Linked DNA regions of Caenorhabditis elegans. The protein of the gene in region 3 interacts with the protein of the main gene of each other region in a pairwise test. Each region holds a gene or a part of one and is shown on either strand. Other genes may lie near its edges.

The links. The genes of interacting proteins can lie anywhere in the genome.
Region 1: the proteins of dro-1 (region 3) and jmjd-3.2 interact in a two-hybrid assay, tested with the Caenorhabditis elegans proteins (one large-scale study listed by BioGRID).
Region 2: the proteins of dro-1 (region 3) and hda-11 interact in a two-hybrid assay, tested with the Caenorhabditis elegans proteins (one large-scale study listed by BioGRID).

The regions. Positions count from the first base shown.
Region 1 is NC_003284.9:14,445,000-14,454,784, forward strand, and holds jmjd-3.2 (JmjC domain-containing protein), read left to right. Parts: upstream 1-3,210; 5' UTR 3,211-3,230; coding exon 3,231-3,342; intron 3,343-3,905; coding exon 3,906-4,145; intron 4,146-4,331; coding exon 4,332-4,822; intron 4,823-5,457; coding exon 5,458-6,163; intron 6,164-6,608; coding exon 6,609-6,796; intron 6,797-6,842; coding exon 6,843-7,435; intron 7,436-7,491; coding exon 7,492-7,683; intron 7,684-8,307; coding exon 8,308-8,389; 3' UTR 8,390-8,568; downstream 8,569-9,785. Other genes in the region: F23D12.4 (F-box domain-containing protein), read left to right, coding at 3-118, 573-1,125; F23D12.7 (Neuropeptide-Like Protein), read right to left, coding at 8,607-8,656, 8,704-8,833.
Region 2 is NC_003283.11:10,523,147-10,529,661, reverse strand, and holds hda-11 (Histone deacetylase 11), read right to left. Parts: upstream 3,479-6,515; 5' UTR 3,353-3,478; coding exon 3,342-3,352; intron 3,274-3,341; coding exon 3,049-3,273; intron 2,852-3,048; coding exon 2,741-2,851; intron 2,695-2,740; coding exon 2,603-2,694; intron 2,537-2,602; coding exon 2,424-2,536; intron 1,868-2,423; coding exon 1,713-1,867; intron 1,665-1,712; coding exon 1,526-1,664; intron 1,425-1,525; coding exon 1,266-1,424; 3' UTR 1,218-1,265; downstream 1-1,217. Other genes in the region: F25D1.3 (Interleukin-17), read right to left, coding at 767-898; xpo-7 (Exportin-7), read left to right, coding at 3,792-3,806, 3,853-3,990, 4,040-4,867, 4,918-5,379, 5,429-6,083, 6,126-6,193, 6,239-6,327, 6,379-6,515.
Region 3 is NC_003281.10:13,339,329-13,345,299, forward strand, and holds dro-1 (Protein Dr1), read left to right. Parts: upstream 1-3,355; coding exon 3,356-3,772; intron 3,773-3,854; coding exon 3,855-3,992; 3' UTR 3,993-4,279; coding exon of another isoform or gene 4,280-4,334; 3' UTR 4,335-4,384; downstream 4,385-5,971. Other genes in the region: F53A2.3 (Phosphoprotein), read right to left, coding at 351-432; nud-1 (Nuclear migration protein nudC), read left to right, coding at 2,202-2,305, 2,353-3,211; ife-1 (eIF-4F 25 kDa subunit), read left to right, coding at 4,280-4,334, 4,496-4,961, 5,008-5,182; acaa-2 (3-ketoacyl-CoA thiolase, mitochondrial), read left to right, coding at 5,631-5,643, 5,714-5,866, 5,917-5,971.

The sequences.
Region 1 (9,785 bases), on a different chromosome or scaffold from region 3:
GAATGAAGAAGGGTTTGACAAAAGTTGCATCGAAGAAAACCGAGAAACCGTTTCTGCTTGAAGAGTTGCCTTCATTGCCACTCGGTGATATTGTGAAACAATTGCCAATGTTCGAGCTGTAAGTGTTTATTATCGAACAAATACGATCGCACAATGTTCTCATAATTTATTTTTGATCTACCTTGTTGACTAGGCTCATTCCCTTCCTTTGACAAGACAGCCACAACAAAATAACAACGGCAACAAGATTGGGGGCGGGGTCAAGTTCAGCAGGTAGATCAAATATACATTATGAGAAGTTTGTGCGATCGTATTTTTACAATAATAATATAACATTTTAAGTAGTTGTTTGTTTGATTTCCTAGAAGTTTATCTTGAACTCTGAACAACTAGTACATTAATTTGATTGAAAACTCTCAATATAGAGAATACAACCAAGTTTTTAAATTAAATCGCATATCGCACTTCACCATAAATCTGAAAGCGACTTGGGAGCAAGCTACCCAGGTCGCTCTCTCAATATGTCCTGCCTTCGCAAGCTTAAATTCAATTCAAATACGGTTCATTTTTAGCGTGAAACTGGCGTTACTATCTCAAAAAGCAAAGAGATGGGTATTGGAGCACTCGCGTCGACATCTTGTTCAATTGACTGTCAATCTCGGAGAAACGTTCATCATCAAAATCGGATATGACGGAGAAGCAACCAACGAGATTGTGAACATAAAACTGGATGATATGCCTCCAAAGAGGGTGTATAGAACTAGGAGCTCAACGAGACTGCCAATGAATTTATTGAAAATTGACCCCATTTTCCCATCATGCTGCGCCAAAAACACCTATGGAACTCGAGTCGAAACAGTGAAGTATTTGATTAAATACTTTTCAAAGACGTTCAAGATGATCTCGATGGAACTCACCTTTGATAAGCAGCCCGACGCTGTGATTCTTGATATCATCAACCTTGTGAATCATTTGAAAATCAAAATGGATACTCTGGCAGTTGCTGGAAAGAACAACAGCGACGAAGTGTTCAAGTGCATCATTGATGAAGTTAGCCGAGTTTCGTCTCTTCAAATCTGGGGATTCCCAAATGGCGAAAGACTGTTGGGCTTGAATGATGATTAAAATTTTCTGAACTTGAATAACTTTTGATAATTTTTTGTTTCTAATTATAAGGTCAAATGTTAAGCCTCAGTAATAAATCCATGTATTTCTTTCCTCTTCCATCTGTTTTTTTTTCGTATTCCTCACTTTCGCTTTTCCCATTTTTAGATATCCTATAAATTATCAAAAAAAGTTCAACTAATAAAATATTGTCCATAATTACGTCTACTTGTATTTAACTGTTTAAGTTGCTTACCAGTGTCATGACAAGAAATACAGCGGCCGACATCTCGTGAGCCCGTTTTTGACAACTTTTACTGATTCGGCCGTATCTCGAAAACTAATTTTTTTCTGGAAATGTTTTTGAAGAAAAATAATCTTCATACTACTTGCCATCATTTGTGCCTACTCACTTTGTTTTGAAAAATTCAGCAAAAAAGTTATGGAAGTGCAAACTAGTCCCTCACTTGGCACTGCTCATGCTGTACAACCAAAAATCAGGTTACTTACTTCGAATATATTTTTTTCGAGCATTTTTTAATAATTACAAATGTAAAATCACAATTAAACTTTATTTAAACACGATATCAAAATTCAGGGAAAAAAAATTCTTCACTTGCGAGAAATGCTCTAGTTGTAGTCGTACACTATTCAAGTTTAATCTATCATAACTTTTTTGCTGAATTTTTCAGAACAACGTGAGAAGACACACATGATGGCAAGTAATATGAAGATTATTTTACTTTGCCAACACTTACAGAAAAAAAAGTTTTCGAGATACCGGCAAATCAGTAAAAGTTGTCAAAAACGGGCTCACGAGATGTCGGCCGCTGTATTTCTTGTCATGACACTGGTAAACAACTTAAACAACTGAATACAAGTAGACGTAATTATGGACAAAATTTCTTGAGTTGAATTTTTTTCGATAGCATGTCCAGTTTTTAAGTTGTGCTCGTTTGAAAAACTTGTAAATTTATCAAAAATCGAAAATTGGATAGAATTATGGCCGGCACTGTATGTAAGACCTTCAAAACGTGCTCCTCTAATCCGTTGCTGTTCGGTACTCTTGTTACGTGTTAAGTTGGGACAAGTTTCCTAGCTACTCATAGTTTGTCTGCACTCTCCTAGTGACGAGAAAAAGATGAAAAGATAATCTCTCAAGGAAAAGCAGATTAATCAACAAAGCGCAGCAGAACTTTCAAATTCATTTTAGTTAATAAGTATACGATTTCCGGTGACCGAATATATGTAGTTGGTTTGTGTTGTATTTTGAATTCTGGTATATAAAATATAAGTAATAATATATAAGTAACCGTTTGAAATTGGAAAATTTTTTCGACGCAAACTTTGCCAGTGATATGTTCAATGAAACATGCTAGTTTGAAAAAATTAAGCATACAAGCACATTCCTATAAATAATTTGGTGGCCACCTTCTGTTATGTTTTATCAAAAATTAGACCTCCCGGCTATTTTGTTACAATCGAGCAGACACCCCCCCCCCCCCCCCCCCACGACACCTGTTCTCTTTGAGCACTCCATAACGTGGGAAGGCACATCTTGCGTCATATGTGACCCGACAGTCTCCTACAAAAATATGGGAAACGGGGCAGATTGAGTGATGATGTAACTTGTTCTGCGCAGTCTTCTCTGCCTGTTCTCGACCTTTTTGCGAGGATTGGCTCCAACATACGTTTTGCACCACTTCTCGATGTTTTTTAGTTTGTTTTTCAAAATTAACATATAGTTTTTCATCAATTTTAGACAAAACTAATTCATTCAATTAATTTTAACATGAAATGAAATATTCAGAACTTAACTTTAGTTGTTTTAGAATAATAGGGTATGCATTGTTAAAATTACAAAAAGTGAGATTTATATCCAAGTCTTTAAATTTTATTGTATTGCAGTTTTGGGATTATTTTAGATTTTTATTAGGAAATGCATGCAATTTTTGCAATTATTGATAGATGTACAGTTTTTAGTGTGTGTGTGTTTTTTGTTAATTTCGAGGATTAATAGAAGAAAAATCCTCTTTAAAATTTGAGTTCACACTTTTTTCCACTAGCAATATTAATTTTGAATATTTTGATCACGAGCAATAATTTTTTCAGGATTTTTTCAAAAGATGGATAGCGGTGGCCAAGGTTCAGGTTCACAAGACCAATTCGAAAAAACAGAACAACTCGTTGATGCACAATATCCAGTTCCGACAACATTGAAGCCAGATTTTTTCACAGGTGAACATTTTAATTTTGTGTTAATAACACGATCATACAATAAAAAAGGTTTGTAAACTGACAGGAGACGGAATTTTCATATCGAGAAATTAAAAAAATCCTTTTTTTCAATGTAAAAAATCTATATTTGAAATTGATTTTCATATGACTAGTTTTTTTTTCAAGCGAAGCATTATATTATTCTTTATATACATTTAAAGGTGGAGTACTGCCAGTGGAGAAATTGTTAAAAACCACTCGTTTGGTCACAAAATGACCAAATATCATGATAAAACTTTTCAAAAATTTTTGAAAATTTATTATTTACTGTCAAAAAGTGGCAATTACTCAGTTTTTGCCACTCATAATTTTCGAAGTCGACCAAAAAAACAATTTTTTCGACATTTTTTATGTTCTAATTTTGTTTAAATTATTTTTATTAAAATATTGTAGGGGTCGCAACATGCGGCATTTCTTTAAATTTCCTCAAAAGCTAGTAGATTCTCCAATTGTCAGCACAAATGATTCTGAACCAATTAATGAACAAGTTTATTCAACACAAAGTAATCATGGCGAGCTTCAAGATAAAACCGAGATTGATGAAAGAAATCGAGTGGATCAGTGCTTCGATAATGATCAACCATTTAACGGAAACAATTCAAAACTGTTAGAATCCGAGTCTCATAAACTGGGAGAGTCGTCAACTGAACCTTCAGGAACAACAATATCATCAGGAAATTATGAAATTGCTGAAGACTGCTCGGATGAGACAGAGCAATTCATCGATCCAGACAATCAAGTTCCAGCAGCAAATTTTATTACCAGTAAGCTTAAGATTTCTTTGAAAAATGTGCTCATTCAAACATTTTCTTCATGCAACTTTTTTAGTAACTTTTTCGGATGGGAACTGAAAATTATAAAACTGTGTTGCGTGTTTGCAGAGATTTTAAATATTGGGCTAATTTTTTTCTAAACAAAATGTTTTTTGAATTAATCGTTTTCATTTTCAGACGACTGCACAACAATTGAACAAACTGCAAAAATTCAAGAAGAAAGCGGAACAGATTCTTTGATTGTCAGCACAAATGATTCTGGTTCAACTAATGAACAGATTTTGCCAACACAGAGCAATGATGCTGACTTTCGTGAAAGAATTGAAATTGACGGAAGAGATCAAGTGGATCAGCATGGCAACAGTTATCCACCAATTAGTGGGAACAACTCAAAATTGAGAAAATCAGAGTCTCATGAACAGGGAGAATTTTTAGTTGGACCTTCAAGGAAAAGAAAGCCAGAAACACTAATTGAAACAAAGAGTAAGAAAAGAAAATCGGCGAGAGGAAGACCATCTAATAAGTTGAATCAATTTCAAATACATCAAGTTAGTAGTGACTGGAACGCGAACGCATTTCTTCAGTTTGCTCGACGAGACGCAGCTGGTACGATTCTAGAGTCGGAAGAAGCGAAAAAAACCATCGATGCACAGTTGGAACACTTTTCGGTATGTTGTTTCAATTAATATTAAAAAAAAAAAGAAATAGCACTTTAATAGTGTTGTAAACCTACTGACCCTACTGATAATGAACATGAAATTTCAATATAAACGAAATGTGGCTCAATTTTAAAATATAACGTTTAAATGTCAAACGCTATGTCAAACTTAAGTTATAATCAAAAAATTATTTTTTTTCCAGAAATTTCCTAATTCTTTTGGAATCGCATTAAAGATAGGAACAATTTAATAACTTTTTAATAATTTTCTAAATGTTAGAAAAATAAATAAATGAATTAAACTATTATACACACTACCAAGTATGCTCGTTGATATCATAAATTTTTACATATGCATTGTAAACATAAAACAAAGACCAATTTGAAAAGTTCAAATTTTAACACAGAACTTAATAGGGAGTTTTTTAAAACTATGTATAAAATGCGATCGGTGCGATCGGAAAAAAGTTGAACGTACTATTTTATAGCAGACATTTTGAGCTCGCATAATTGATAATTGTTTTCAGCGAAAAACTCAAACTTTCAGGTCAAAATTTTTTGTCTAAGACAGGACGTTGTAGGACGTTGTCAAAGCAAATTACAAATTATGTATATGCTTTTAACAAAACTTTAAAATATTTGCAGGAGCCCTCGTGCTCGACGGATGTTTCGGTTCATGTTGTCAGAGACAACGAGAATCTGGGCTTGGTGACAAACAAACTCCGATCGCTAGCCATTCCACCAATATCCAACCTTCCCAGTGATCTGCCTTCATTATATAAACTCCCGAAACTGTTTCTAACCGGAGCGACTTTTATGGACGTCTCAAAATCAAAAGGAAAACAAGTTATTACGAAAGCAAGCAAATGGATCAAATCTGGCAAAAATCTCGTATACGAAACATCTGGCTGTTCTGAACTATTTGATGAAACAACAAAATTCAACACTGATGGAAAGATTGAAGAAAACACAAGTGAAGAATACACAAATAAAGATCAATACAGGTTACCTGTTCCTATCTATAATATTGAGAACAACAGCGATGAAACATCAAATTTTATTAAAAATATCGTCAATACCACAACCATGTGCATCTTTCGAGGAATCGAAGAAGCATTTGGGATGGATCGCCAAACGTTTGACATCTCCACATTGGCACCTCTCTACCCCGATTACCCATTGAAAATTCGTCGACAGATGCCCCAGTCATCAGCAACCAATTTCTACATGAATGACAAAAATACCGTGCAGAGATTGGGAAATGCCTGGGCTGTCTTCGATTTTGAAGGAGTTACTCAGTTGAGAGATTTTGCGAAGAATTATGAAAGCCTTAAGGATATAGGAAGGTCAGGTACGTTTTTGAACTGTTTTTTTTTAATTCTTATTTAGCGAAAGATATTTGAGTTTTATAAGAAAATAAGTATCTTATAAAACCCAATTTCAAAATTTTTAAAGATTGGTCTAAAATTCCAGTCAGCTTTGAAAACCAAATTAGCGAAAACTTTTCAAAAGATTTCCAGGAGTTTTGAGCAAAATAAAGCAACGTCGCAACCATTTGAACCTCAATGGCATCCCAATGAAAATATTTGAAAAATATTTAGATTTTGAAATTCGTATAAAAAAAAGCACTTACTTCATTGTCGACCTTTAAATTATGGGTAATCAGAACTGAGTTCTCGCCAATTTTTGACTCTTAATCAACCCACTTGGGAACTTTTTTGATAAGTTTTAATAAAAACTAGAGAACTTCCAAAGTTTATAAAAATCATTAAATTTGTTCACCTTTCATTTTTCAGCTTACCAAGCTATCCTACGCAATCCTTCCGCATTTTCGGAAGTAATGGATGACATGAAGAAGCAAATCAAGGAAAATACGATCCCACTCAGTCCTGAACACAAACTTACAGTCCATGAAAATGCGACAGTGTTGGCATTTGGAACTAATATTGATCTGGATGATCAGCGATTCAAGGAACAGCTCGATGTATGTCGTTTAAAGTTAACGGTAGATAAATAATCATTATTTTCAGGAGATCAAAAAATTGCCTGATTGTTTGAGACCCGACGGAGCCGGGAATCTTCTCAACTTTGCTCAAGAGTCACTTGCAGGTCTGAACAAACCTCAAGTTTATTGCAAGCCTCCCGGAGCAAGAACCACAGCTCACCTGGAGAACCAAGCTCTCGGGTCCATTAACATTAATCATGGACCAGGTGATTGTGTTTGGTACGGAGTGCCCATGGAGTACAGTGGCAGAATGGAGGTGCTGATCAAAAAGCATCGACTTAATGTTTATAAAAGCGGGTACTGGCCAAGTGAGCAGGAATTAAGAAATGAAAAGATACCATCGCAAAAGTTTCTACAAAAGCCTGGAGACATGGTGTACGTCGGTATTGGAACATTTCATTGGGTGCAATCTAATGATTTTGCAATAAACGTCTCCTGGAATGTTGCACAACCAACTTTTAATCAACTGGCTGCTGCAATGGTCATTCACGATCACAACATCTCGAGTAAAGCAACTACTCTCATGCCTATTGAGCCAATTGTCTGGAAAATGGCTGAAGATGGAGTGGAGGCAGAGGATGAGAATATTTTCCTGGCTCGAAAGGCTATAATGCTAAAGTACGGTTTCGTCACAGAATCATAATACTAGATAACTAATTAATTCAAAATTACAGAAGTTTGGCAAAAAGCCAGTTTGAGTTCGATTTCGCCATTCAGGAAAATATGCTCATCAGATCAGCAAAAAACGAGAAATCGATCATCCCTGTTGAGCGATGCTCTATCCAAAAATGCCGGGAAGTTCTGTTCAATATGATCACACTTGACAATAAGCAAAATCCATTCTGCCTTAATTGCATAGTTAAAGGGTGAGTTGCATTTTGTGAAGAGTGATAACTGATAAATGCGGAAGAAGGGATGTATTGTTTACTCATCATAGAAAATTTTTTTGTATTTTTTTTTTCGAATTATCATTTTTTTATTGCATTTATCGGTCGTTTATCCAACGTTTTTTCGTTGAATAACGTATATTCAAACCCGATGGAAGGCCATTTTTTGGTGATTTTTGGTTAACTATCTTGAGATTATCTACCAAAACATGCAATTAAAAAACAAAAGCTCAAAAAAGTCAAATTTGTGACCGTTGCGTCACGGAAAAATCTCCCAAATTAGAGAATTTTTCGTACGAAATTTGTTTATTTGAGTGCATTTTAAGTATATATGTTCAAACATGTAGACCACTTTTATTTTGGTTAAAAAAGTAAAAAACACACGAATAGCAAGATAAAAATAGTTTAATTGGTGTCAAAGTGTCGCATTTTGGTTTCTTCGGGAAATGCGAGAGAAGAGACGGAGATTTTTCAGCTGATTTCGCATGGCTATACGTGTGCTGACGTTACATTTTTCTGGAAGAGAAATTCCCGCATTTTTGTAGATAAAACCGCAATGAAACAGCCTGACACCACGTAATAATCTAATATTTAATTTTCCAGAAAAGTCAAAGCAACAGCATTTCAAAGGCGGGACATTGCTGACTTGGTGAAGATATTTGACGAGTTTAAATGGGTGTCCTGAAACTTTTCTTTTTTTCAACTTTCGATCCTCAATTTTCACAGCTTTCTTTTGTATTATACAATTCTTGCACATTTTGAATCACTTATCGTTTTATTGATCTTGTTTTGATTTTTTATTATGCAACATTTTTCGATATGATCAATTCTGTTTAATAAAGTCCAACTTACTAATTATAAAAAAAATTTATTCTTACATACAAAAAAGAAATCGAAAATGTTTAGTTGCATGGGTTGACAGATGGACGTGCTGTGGCCATTGGCATATTATCTGAAAATAGGAGTTTTTGATTTTGTATGCAATTATTTTGAAATTACTGAAATCCTCTGGGTCTTGTGGGTAGCGAAAATCTTCAGCGTTATCAATATTTGGAATTGGTGCGGACAGAGAGATCCCAACGAGCAAAACCATGAAGAGAGTCAAGAAAGACAGTAGGAAACGAAACATTTTCTGAAAGATGAGATTGGGTTAGGAAAAAAAGAAACACGAGGAGTTCGGTGAAGAAAAATCAGACAATGACGAAAAGATGTTTTCAATGTTATCACACAAAATGTTGAGGTTGAAGCAACTGCGGCGGCAGTTGTCAATTTTCCCGGTGACATGTAAATAAAAGAGTTGGTGAATCATACAATTTGATTTCTAGAGAAACGATTGAAAATATATTCTGTTTAGAAACCTGACTTAAAATCAAAACCTGAGTTAAAATCATGTTAAAAATAAGTATACAATTAGGAAAAGAAAAACAGGTACATATATCTCTCCAATAATAACCGTCAAACTACAGAGGTTTTGAGTGTATTTTCCCTTCTCGCCGTTTTTGTGGTTCAGGGCAACGGCCAGAGCAGTGATGCAACTGTGCTTCTGTGCTGCTCCATATACTTCAGTTGCTGATCAATCCCAAAATTTTCTCATATTGCTCTTCTATTGACTACTTCTAAAAATTGAAAAAAATTAAAAATAAATCATATTCTCTGTCAGTCTTGCACCCATTTGAGAACTTCTGTAATTTAACGTTTGAGAAAATAAAACTATTTTTTTGTTCCGAGCTTAGTGCGCTCAACGGCTTGTAACTGCAACAAGACTTTAACCAAAAGCATCGGTTTTTTTTTCTGGAAAATCTATAATTAAAACCTTCAAGAATTGTCATGAATTTTCTACTTGTTTTCAACTCTCGCAAAACTGCAACATATGCATGAGGCAAACATAACTTGATACTTTCGGATAATTTTCAAATAGAATGCATCTGGAATATCGACGAGGAACCTATGAGTTGAACAATCACAGATGTTTAAAAGCTGCGTTTCACGAAAATATCTATTCATTTATAGAGAAATTAGTTGGAAATTCATATTATGCTCAATGGAATGAAAATTGAATAATTATGAGAAGTTATGGAAAT
Region 2 (6,515 bases), on a different chromosome or scaffold from region 3:
GTTTGAAAAGGGCATTGAACTTTCTATTCATTTTTTTGTTGCGATATAATTTGTGACGGGTCAATCAAAAAATTTTTATTCATTAAAAACTGTTTACTTTTAGTTTATTGTTTTGTGTTCAGCTGTAAACACATAATCAGGTATCGGTTTAATTAAATGTTTAAGAAAAAATGTTTTTTTATTAAATACTATGTTACAACCGAAGTGATATTGAAGAAGTTGTTAAAAATCACTTTTGTTGTGCTGTGACCAAATATTATAGTAACTTCTGAAACCATTTTTTAAAAAAATGTTTAAAATTACAATTGAAGGGTAGCAATTACTCAGATTTCATTTTTCATAATTTTGGAAGTTCACCGAAAAATAATATTGGATTATTTTAATCACGTTTAAATTTATTTTACTTAAACATTGTATAGGTTGAAAGCACTGTTCCGAATTTCTCAAATAGTCCAGTTCTTGTTTGTGTTGAAAATTTGGCAATTTACCAAGAAGTTAATTGAATTTTTTTTAAAGTTTAACAATTTTCTGTAAACTTCAATTTTTATATTTGGTCATTTTAGACTGATGGGGGATAAACATGAATATCTATATGACTTTTTGGCCGATTTTCGAGATTTTCCTAAACTTACACTTGGGTTATACTTTCATCCATTTTTCACGCATATTTACACACTTATTGAATAAATCTATGTAAAAATATCTAACAATATCCAGAACATGCTAGTGAAACTATTTACTCTCAATTAAAAAAACAAAAACTAACCAAACTAGGTGGTTCTTCACAATGTTTATCAGTCCATTTACCATTGACATGCCTTCGAACATTGTGTCGTTTTGCTGTCGTGCCTATCACTACTCCAAGAATTAAAATGAAAGCTGTACGGAAGCAAATCATGTCGCAATCGACAGAAGAATCAAATAAAAGATATAGGCGAGAAATGACTGTGTCTCTCTGTGTGACCCTTTACCCGATGATGACCTAGTGACATCCACATAAAGTGAAAATTTGGGAGGAGTCGAGGATTCATAAAAATTGAAAGTTTTAGGAAAAGTTCATATTCAGAGTACTTTGTATTATTTTGGATTGTTTTATTTTTAATGGAATCGGGTTGATATAGAATGTTTCAAAATCATCCATTCGATTTTAAAATGAAATTTTGAACTTGATCCTTCTATCTATTTAGTTTCCCCTGCCATTAAACAATAAAAAATAGTTTAATAAAAAATAATTTATAAGGAAAAGATATGCTGATATAACTTTTTTATTTGATACTGATGAGATTCTTTGACTGGAGATTTTCAATTGATTTTGCAATGAGAAGCGCGTTGTCCTTCTGATACCCTCCACTGGTTACCATGCAAATTGGAATTCCTTTTGATTTTGCTAGATTGAACACAACTTCGTCTCGAGCAATTATGCACTGAAAATTTGATTTTCAAAAAAATATGCAACATCTTATTTCAAAATAGACTATACACCAAATACCAAACTCGTATAACAATATTCCTTGCTTTCACACACCTGTGGACTCAATTTCATTGCTCCCAGAGGATCACCAAGTAGACAGTCTGTGCCAGCGTTGAACATAATGAAATCGAAACCAGGAGGAGTAGTTTTCTCTCTATCAATTAAACACTGTGCCAGTTGTTTGCGTAATTCGCTAAATAAAGTCGGTCAGTGAAAGCAGAAAGCCGCTATGAATACTTACGAGAGGTAGGAAGTATCAGTCGTATGACCATTTACATGAACCGCTCTGTTAATAAATTGACGAGCTTCACGATCATGTGGATAGACATATGGATTGAAAACATCAAATACAAACACATTCGGATTGTCAGCAAAGTCTCGTGCATGGCCATTTCCCTTAAAGTATGATTCAAGCAAAAAATTGGATTCTTAAATTTTAATAATTTTTTTAAACAATTAATATTGTGATTAATATTTCGAATTAATATCTAATATTTGAGAAATATCTTTACGGGCTAGACATATTTCATTCACGTTCCAAATGGTTTTCCAAAATGATACCGTAGTCTATAGAATTCTTAACGTAACTGTAAGGTAGCTAAAATTTGAGGACAATTCTAACTTTGAAAGCTCAGATATCGGCCATCTATGATTTTAGGCAAAATACTTCCTTCATGTGATGTCAGACTGTCTCATTGCGGTTTGATCTACAAAACATGCGGGACTTTTTCCCAGAAAAATTGTGACGTCAGCACGTTCTTAACCATTCCAAATCAAATGAGATGTCTGCGTCTCAACTCCCGCATTTTTCGAAGATCAAAGCGGAATGGGATTTTCTGACTACACGTGTTCCTTTGAGTTATATGCTGTCAAAGTTGAGCAGTGAAGGTGCCGCACGCATCAATAGAAAATATACGGTATTTTATATTCTTTCAAATGTTTTTTCCAGTACCTGATGAGCATCTAAATCTACAACAATCGCGTTGGCAATTGCCTTTTTGTCAAACAAATCGAAAATTGCCATGGTGATATCAGCGTAAAAACAGAATCCACCTCCGCCCGAATCTGAAATTATAGGCTGCTGTACAATCCCATAGCGTCTATTTTTCTTGCGGAATAACAAAAACATACGAGAAGCATGATGGAAACCACCACCCACGTTGATCGCCCAACCATGTTTTAGAGCCAAATTGGCAGCTAAAACTGTTCCACCGGCTTGTAAACTGGAAAACACAAATAAATGAATACAACAATTACTAGGAATGATACCGTAGTGGATGCAATAACTTGCTTTCAATAATGCACGGTGGAAGGCAACCGACAAATGGAATCTCGACGATTTGTGCTGCTTTAATAGGATTTCGAACACTTTTCAGATATCTAAAATAATATGAATAAATTTTTTTTATTAGTTGAAATTGTTGAACGCCTCATCTAACTTTTTTTTAGAATGTCAACTATAAACGTTATGAGCTTAATTATTTTCTTTCAATTTAAGTATGGGGCCATACAAACATGATTTTTTCATAAACCAATTCCACGATTCAATCACATTCACAACACTTTCATGTGCCTACTTTCTATCATGTACTCTAGTGAGTTCTTCAAATGTCGGTAGATTTGGCTCAACGAGTGTTTCATCAGTGATCAGATTCATTTCTTTCAAATGTGTAATGACTCTTCTCCATTTCGAAGAATCAAATGGATGTAAATGTTCGATTCCAAATGCAGTTACATTATATTCAGAATGATAGACAATTGGACGTTGATAACTTTTTAAACTAAAGATTTCATCTTTATCTCTGAAATTATTGATATTTTTGGCATTTCCAACTGCATGTTGTACTACAGATTAAATTTCAAAACTCACCGCTCTGCCATTCAAAATCTGCGTAGAATGAGTGGTTAGAGCGGATAAATAAAGAAGTAGTCGTAAAGATTCTGTTTTTCTTGTTTTTGTTATCAGAAAACAGATAACGAATTCTGAAAATAGTGGAAACTGCCAAAAGATGCCAATTGTGGCGAGAGAGCCTGTGGGATGTAGAGTAGGATGAGAAAGGATGGCCTAACTTTTTTATCGGCCATCCGCCGTGTACTTCACCAGGACAAGATGTTTCGTCTTTCAGAAACTCAAATCATCACCAAAGTTTGCAGTTTTTCGAAACAATTAACGGTGGGAAGACGCCGAATTAATTTTATCCGTTTTAAACATTCTTTTTGCTTTTCAAAACATTTTTCTCCTCTTTCTCAAGCTATAATTACTTCTGAATTGGATATTTTAGGAGTGAATCGCTGAACAGCGGATTCGAAGTCTTCAAAAATGGATGAATTACCGGTTAGCATTTTCAAAATTCTTAATGTGCATTCTAATCTTATTTTAGGTACTAAACAGTCTATGCAAAGATCTATATGAGAGTGTCGATCCGCAAGCCCGACACCGAGCCGAGAGTAACCTTGCGGAACTGTCAGAGTCACCCGAATGCCTTCAAAGATGCATGCTTCTCTTTGCACGAGGAGATGTAAGTCGAAATAATAAAAGTGTTAAACAATTTACATAATGATTTTCAGTACCCATACGGACCAATGGTAGCAAGCACCACACTAATGAAACTTCTCGGCGGAAAAACTAGCATCACTTCTGTTCAGAAGCTCGAGCTTGCAAAATATTTATTGGAAATGCTAGGTCAAGGTGCACCTCAATTTCCTCCATATCTCGTCACATCACTTTGCCAACTTTTTGCAAGACTCACGAAACAAGAATGGACGTATCAAAATCCCACAGAAAATCAAACAGAAGACACAAAAATTGAATATCCATTTCGTGATCCGGTTGATAGCCTTGTCAAAACAATCAACATGGATAATATCGAGGAAAGTATGCTGGCCGTGCAACTGTTAACCTTACTCGTTGCTGACATGAATTCAGCTTCGGGAATGGATTCAGTTAACAAACATCGCAAGAATCTTTCGCAGTTCAGGGACGATTTTTTATATGAGATTTTCTCGGTATCTCTGAATGTTTTGAACGATAATGTGGACAGAAATCTGAACGATCGCCAATTGGGTCTTCTTCACGCGGTTCTCAACTTGAATCTCCAATGTCTACTTTTTGATTATATAGGAAGTTTGACAGACGAAACAAGTGAAGACAACTGTAATGTGCAAATCCCAACAGCATGGAGAGCAAGTTTTACTGATGGAAAAATTGTACAGCTTATGTTCAAACTTTTAAATGTGCTTCCACAAGAATCAAGTGAAAAAGTGATGACAATAATAGCTCAATTGGCAAGTATTCGAAGAACGCTTTTCAATGGAACAGAGCGACAGGCTTACGTTCAAAAACTTGTTGAAGGAGTTGTCAGTGTAATTATGAACCCTGGGAAGCTTAGTGACCAGGTAAGAATAATGAAAAATTAAAGGCAAACATATTTATATACCTGATTTAGGCCGCATTCCACGAGTTTTGCCGTTTGATTGCTCGTCTGAAAACAAATTATCAGCTGTGCGAGCTCATCGCTGTTCCCTGCTACAGTCACATGCTAAGGTTACTCGCGGAATTCACTGTACAAAGCCTACGAATGATGGAGTTCTCAGCCAACAGTACATATTTTCTTATGACATTCTGGCAGAGAATGGTGACGTCTGTTCCATATGTTCGAAATAATGATGAGCATCTTCTCAACGTTTATTGTCCAGAAATCATGACAGCATTCGTCGAGAGTCGATTACAACACGTTGAGAGCATTGTCAGAGAAGGAGCTGAGAATCCATTAGATGATCAAGGAGCAACCCTTCAAGTTATGGAACATCTTGCGATTATATGTAGATGCGAATATGAAAACACATGTAAACTTCTCACTCAACACTTTGATCAAAATGCCAACATCTGGATGAATGGATCTGAAAATGTAAGACACTTAGTTGTTTTTTTTTGAAACTTATAATTTGTATTTACAGGATGCCAATACAGCGATTGCCGAAGGTCGTCTCGTTTGGTTGATTACATTGATCGGAACTGCTGTGTTCGGAAAGACGACAGCAACAAGCAGTGATGTTCACGATAAAATGGACGGAGAACTCATTGCCCGATGTATAACAGTTATGAGATTCAATGATAATCGGCTTCAGTTGTCAAATAATACAGTTCCACTGAAAGGAAATCTTCGACTGGAAGTTTCATTTATTCACATGCTTGAGCAATTCCGTCGTGCGTATATCATGGATCAAATCACTCGAGCCAGTGCAGTCTACGACACACTTGAAGCAGAACTGCGTATTACGGAAGAGTCTGACATGCTAGGTGTTATTGTACAAAAGATTCTCACAAATCTGAAATTCTGGCCGTCCAACTCTGATCTCTTGGATCTTTCCCTATCTTTGTTCAAGGATTTATCGCTTGGATATTCTGCAGTTCGAAAGTTATTCCGTTTACCAGAAGTTCAGCTTCTATTGAACAATCACACTGCCGATCATTTCATGTTTCTTGGTCCAAATATTGATTATCAAACAATGAAACAGCGAACGACGTTTTACGAAGCACTAACGCGTCTTTTAACAACGGATTATTCGGACGACGAGGAAATGCTTCAAAGATTCCTTCGTCCTCTTACAGGTAGATTCAATTCCAATTGATTTTCAAATGTACTTTTTTCAGATACAGTTGAAGGAATTTGCACTGTGATCCAGAATAATTGCCAAGGAGTTGAAGAAGAACAATTAAAGGTTATAAAAATGAACGTTTTCAAAACTAAAACAAACTTTTTACAGAAAATTATTACTGGACTGTGTCGAGATCTTCGAGGAGTGGCAATAGCATCAACAACGAAAACTATCTTCCAAATTCTATTCGAATGGATGTATGTTTTTCCTATAAATATTTATTATTTTTCAATTATTTTTCTTTCCAGGTACCCAGAAGTGTTCAATATTATGCAGTTCTCGGTAGAAAAATGGCCTGGATGTGCTGATGTCGTTACTCCAATTCTTCGACTTCTCTCCGAAATGGTTCAAAATCGACAGCAACGATTGAAATTCGAAATGAGTT
Region 3 (5,971 bases):
AATTCAGCTTGCCAAATTTGCCGAATTTGTTGGCAAATTTTGAGATTTGCCGCACACCCCTGGTAGGCACGTCTATGTTTTTTTTGGAATTTTTCTGGTTAAAATTTGTTTAATTTTTTTTTGGCAAAAAAGGATTTTTTTTTGTTTTTTAAGCAAAAAAGGAGTTTGTGGTTTTTTTGACAAAAAACTATTTTTTTTTTTTGGTTTTTTGCCAAAAGATTTCTTGCTAAAAATAAAATTATTTGGTATATTTTGTTCATTTGACAGGAATTAATTTTTTAATTTAAAAAAATGAACATCATTTTTTTGAGATTCGCTATTAAAAATTAAAATATACAAAAAAAACCAACCGTAATTCAATGAATTATTCAAAGTTTCTTTGCACTCCTCCAACTTTGCCAAAACGTCCAGAATAGTTTCTCGGGAAGCCATTGTCTCCTAAAAAATAGGTTAAGTATTATTATGAAACTGTATATAATTCCAGTAAAATCTATGATATTTTATTTTTGAGCAATATGTAGAAAAATGCACCTCTGCTAAACTAAACATTAAACATAAACTAAACGAACATTATCATTGAATATCGAAAAAGTGTATTCAATTTTTTCAGATATTACAATTTTCAACTACAACCGGACCATGTGGAAATTTGCGCGGAAAGAAAAGGAGAATGTGTCCCGCAGGGGTAAGAGTCATTGGTTTCGTTGAAATCACGTTGAGTGGGTGTACCATCTGTTGGGGAAATTCTCTCCCCCTGGTCCGGTTCTGACATAATCTAGATTTTTCGAGAAAATCAAGTTTCAGTACATACTAAATTTAAAAAAGAAGCTAATAAATTAATGAGAAACTATGCAATCAGCTTTTTAAATAGTCTATCGAAAACGGTTTACTGGTGTTTTCTTTCTTCTGTTTTTCAATATTCTATTACATTAAATGTTCCTATAAACTAATATTACATAGACGTTTTGAAAATGGAGAAATTCGCCATACTTGACGCGCAAGGTCTCGCAGTGAATGCTCTTTCTCTCCGTCTCTTCGCCACATACTCTCTCACTGCCGCACCGCTTTTTTTTCAATAAAACAGGGTAAATTTAGTGAATTGATTTGAAACTCTATCTGTATTTAAAATAATAATAATTATTATTAAATTATTATTAAAAAAAGTGTGTCAACATCTATTTTAATTATGTTAACTACTAAACATAAATAAAATGCGTATTTTTTTGCAAGAAAGAAAAAAAGGCCGCGTAAAAAGGGAGACACAAATAGTGTTCTAACTAGATTCTCAACGCGATGCGTAGTCTAATATGAACGCAGACATACAAACAAAAACGAGAGGTGACCTCGTTTCCAATCTAATTAGCCATGCTAGCGTGTACTGAAGTGTCGAACGTCTAATTAGAAAAAAGCAATTAAGCATACGTAATGGCTTTTCTGTCTTTTTTGGAATAATTTGTAAATGGAAAAGTGAACTTAATCAATATTTAAGTTGGATTTATTATCAATAGAAAGTTTCAAAATGGAAAAGGTCTCGAAAAATCCAATTTCTAAGCGTGTGCATTTTTCTCTTTGATTAGCACCATCTGTTCTTCAATTAGACCCGTTTTTCTCTTTAACGGGAGAAATAGTAATGCACTAGGTAACTTATTGCTTTTTTTTTCTGAAAATTACTTTGAATTCAAATTTGAATTTTTAAATTTCAAATCAAACTACTGTAGCATCGAGTTTCGCGTCAGCACGAGAGTTGCGCCAGTCGCCGCGCCAAGGCGCCTAGAAAAAACGGCGCTCGCAATTTATTTTCAATTTTACACATTTTCTCTCCTAATTTATCGATTTTGCGGGATTTCGCACAGATTTTCTTTGATTTTTCAACTATTCTCATTGTCCCAGAAATATAATTGAGCATTATGAGCCACCTGCTTTCCCCAGGCACTTGCAGTATCCATGGGAACATGGCGAAAATAGGATTTACCAGAAATTTCGAAATAACTCAATTTTTCTAGTGATATTTGTCAAAATAAATGGTTTTCTAGTTTGTAAAATAAGTTTTTAACTAGATTAAGTAGAATTTGTCCTGTAATTATTGCGAAATAACTATGTTTCTTGATTTTAGGCTCTATTTTCAATAATTCCGGATTTCCTAATGTTTTTCTTCGTTTTGGAAGTAGTTTTTATTAATTAATATATTTAAATTTCAGAAAATGTCTCAATATGAGCGATTCGACTCGGTGCTGCTCTCCATGGCCCAACAGCTGAGCGGCGGAGTGCCTGAAATGCTTGATGTACTATTTGAATTTCTTTCGAGGTAAGAAATTTTTTCAAAGTGCTTAATAAATACATGTTTTGTTTCAGAAAGACGGATTTCTACAGTGGCGCTGGTGTCGATCAAGCCCGGACCCTTCTCCTCGAAAAATTCGATAAACACGGTGGAAAGGCTATGAAGGAAGCTGAAGAAGCCAAGAAACGGAAGGAAGAGCAGGAGAGGAAGCTTGCTGAACGAAGAGCTGCACAAAAAGCTAAGGAAGAGGAAGAGTTCCGAAATGCGAAAGTCGTGGAAGTCACTGATGAGGAAGCGGCCGCGTTTGAAAAGGAACAGGCTAAAAATTCTGTTGAAAATCTTGAAAAATTCGTCGATAACGAAGGAGAAACATCGAAAGACGCTGAAGTCGAAGATGAGGACAGTAAGCTCATGAAACCAAATAGTGGAAATGGTGCGGATCTTGCCAAATATCAATGGACTCAAACACTCCAAGAACTCGAGGTGAAGATTCCAATTGCTGCTGGATTTGCTATCAAATCTCGTGACGTTGTCGTCAAAATAGAGAAGACTTCAGTATCTGTCGGCCTGAAGAATCAAGCTCCGATTGTCGATGGAAAGTTGCCTCACGCCATTAAAGTAGAAAATTGCAACTGGGTAATCGAAAACGGGAAAGCGATTGTCCTAACTCTCGAGAAGATCAATGATATGGAATGGTGGAATCGATTCCTTGATTCCGATCCTCCAATCAATACTAAGGAAGTGAAGCCAGAGAACTCGAAATTGAGCGACTTGGATGGAGAGACACGTGCCATGGTCGAAAAGATGATGTATGATCAGAGGCAGAAGGAGATGGGTCTTCCAACGTCTGATGAGAAGAAAAAGCATGATATGCTGCAACAGTTCATGAAACAGCATCCTGAAATGGACTTCAGCAATGCTAAAATTGGATAATTCTGTGAATTTTGTGAGATTTGTTCCGAAAATATTATATTTATATTCGCATAAATGTACTCAGTTTGATATTAATTTTATTTCATCTTTAAACTTTTAATAATGTATTTCTCATTCCTTATATCTCTTTTAGATCCCTTAAAAATGCAGTGCTTCAACACAATTTTCAGACTCTTCACAGATATGGATGAGGACAATGAAATCGGACTTCCACAGAAAGGTATCAACCAAATTATCAAAGAAGTTGTTCCTGAAATGCGAATCGCCAACGAGTCGAGAGATATGATCAATGCTTGCTGCGTTGAGTTCGTGAAGCATATTGCGAGAGAAGCACAACGAATTGCGAGCCAGGATCAGAGAAAAACAATATATCACGAACATGTTCAGAAGGCACTGCAGAATTTAGGATTCACACCAGATTATCTCGAGGCCGCCGACAGTGTTCTCGATGCCTGCAAGGTTGAAGCCGAGAAGAAGCTGCGAAGGAAGAACTCTCGTCTTGAAAAATGTGGTATTCCAGAGGAAAAATTGTACGAAATGCAACAAGAATTAATTCAGAAGGTAATTTTTTGAGGTTTTCAAAAATAATTTTGTTTTTATAAAACAAACACTCATTTCCTCAATGTTAATATTTATTTTACAGGCACGCCAACAAGAAATTGAGCAGCAGCTTGCTCACCAACAAGCACAAGCCGCGGCGGTAGCAGCCGCAAACGCACAAATGTTTGGAGGACCATCAGAGGGCTCTTTGGCTCCAACCGACGATGACTACGACAACTAGATTGTTTTTCTTCGCTTTTTTTTTCTACGGGTTCTCATTTTATTTCTTCATTTGTGTATTTACCTTGATTCATCATCGATAATTTCTAAATCTCTTTTTAAAATTGTTGTACTATATTCCACCATTTCCTATTTTCCCCGTGAATTTTTTTACTGACCCGCTCCATATTTCAATGGCACGTCATTTAGGGCACGATTAGTTGGCGTTTTCCCCAGTTGTTCTCGGCTTCTCAGATCAGTCCTGTTTTTGCCTTGCCAGTTGTCGAGGTGCGAAAATTTTAAGCGCAAATGTCAGATTCTGAAATAGCATTTGAGAAGCTGAAAATCTCTGGGGAGAAAGAAGGTGAGCCATTCCCTTTTTCATTATCGTTTGAGTACTATAAATTATTCACAAAAAAACTGTTTCTCGCCGTTTTGCATCACTTTTTTGGTTCCACGTGCCCATTTTTATTTGCATTCATTTATTCTCTCTGTTTACTGATTTTACTAATCGAGTTCTTCCAGGTATGACTGAAACGGAGCAAACGACGGCACCCATTTATCCGCTGAAGCGTAACTGGACGTGGTGGTATTTGAACGATGAGCGCAACAAGTCTTGGGAGGATCGTCTGAAGAAGGTGTACACCTTCAACACCGTCTCGGAGTTCTGGGCTCTCTACGATGCTATCCGTCCACCAAGTGGCCTCAACGCGTTGTGCGATTACAACGTTTTCCGTGACGATATTCAGCCGATGTGGGAGGTTCCGGAAAACTCGAACGGAGGACGCTGGCTCATCGTCATTGACAAGGGAAAGACTCCCGAAATGGTCGATGCTATTTGGCTGGAGATTCTCATGGCTTTGGTCGGCGAGCAATTCGGAAAGGACATGGAGTCGATTTGTGGGTTGGTGTGCAACGTCAGAGGAAAAGGATCGAAGATCAGCGTCTGGACTAAGGATTGCAACGATGATGAAACCAACATGAGGATTGGGTATGCATGTCTATTTTTAATTCTATCTTGAATTTTGGAATTTCAGAGTTGTGCTGAAGGAGAAGCTGATGGCCGCATCCAAGGACCACTCAAAGCCACTGTTCGATGTGATCCGCTACGAAGATCATGAGAGCTGCCAGAAGAAGACCAGCTCGGTTGTGAAAGCCAAGCTTTCATTGCACTCGTCCGATGCTCCAGTCGCCGAGAAATCCGCCGTCTAAAGCAGACCATTTTGTATCTGCTCTACTTGTTTTTTAATTACACCCGTTGCTTGGCTAGTATTTCACTCGTTGTTTTGTGATTGGTTTAATAAAATTGATGAAAATTAATTGTATTATATTGCCTTGTGGTTTCCAGGCCCAATTTTGTATCTTATTGTAGTGTAGAATGTAGCCTTTAGGTCAGAGAACAAGTAGCGGGAATGATGATAAAAAAGACACCGCGAAAGTCGGCCATTCTGCTTCTTTTTCGTCTCTGCGTCTCTTCTCTACCTATCTTATCGGCCCAACAAACAACCGAAAAACTTTATTTTTGTTCAAAAGCCCCTCTCAAAATAATTATGCAGTTTTCTAAATGCCCTTTTTTTTAGGTTTTTTCACCTCTTCCTAATAATTTGTTACTACTTATAAGAACGTTTTTATTTACAGAACCACACAAATACACTGCAAAATGGCAGGAAAATGTGAGTGGGGGTCAAAGTCCATGGTCGTTGTACTAATAAGTGATCAGTGATGTTTATATTATGTCTGCAGGTGTGTTCATCGTCGGTGCCAAGCGTACAGCATTCGGAACTTTTGGTGGAAAGCTGAAAGGATTGAGTGCAACTGATTTGGGAGTCGTCGCTTCTCAAGCAGCGCTGAAGCACGCTAATGTTGGAGCAGATGCCGTCGATCATGTCATCTTTGGTAGAAAGATTTTATTTTTAGAATGATTTAAAGAAAACCTCTAATTTCAGGAAACGTGGTTGCCAGCTCTCGTGATGGAATTTACCTGAGTCGTCACATTGGACT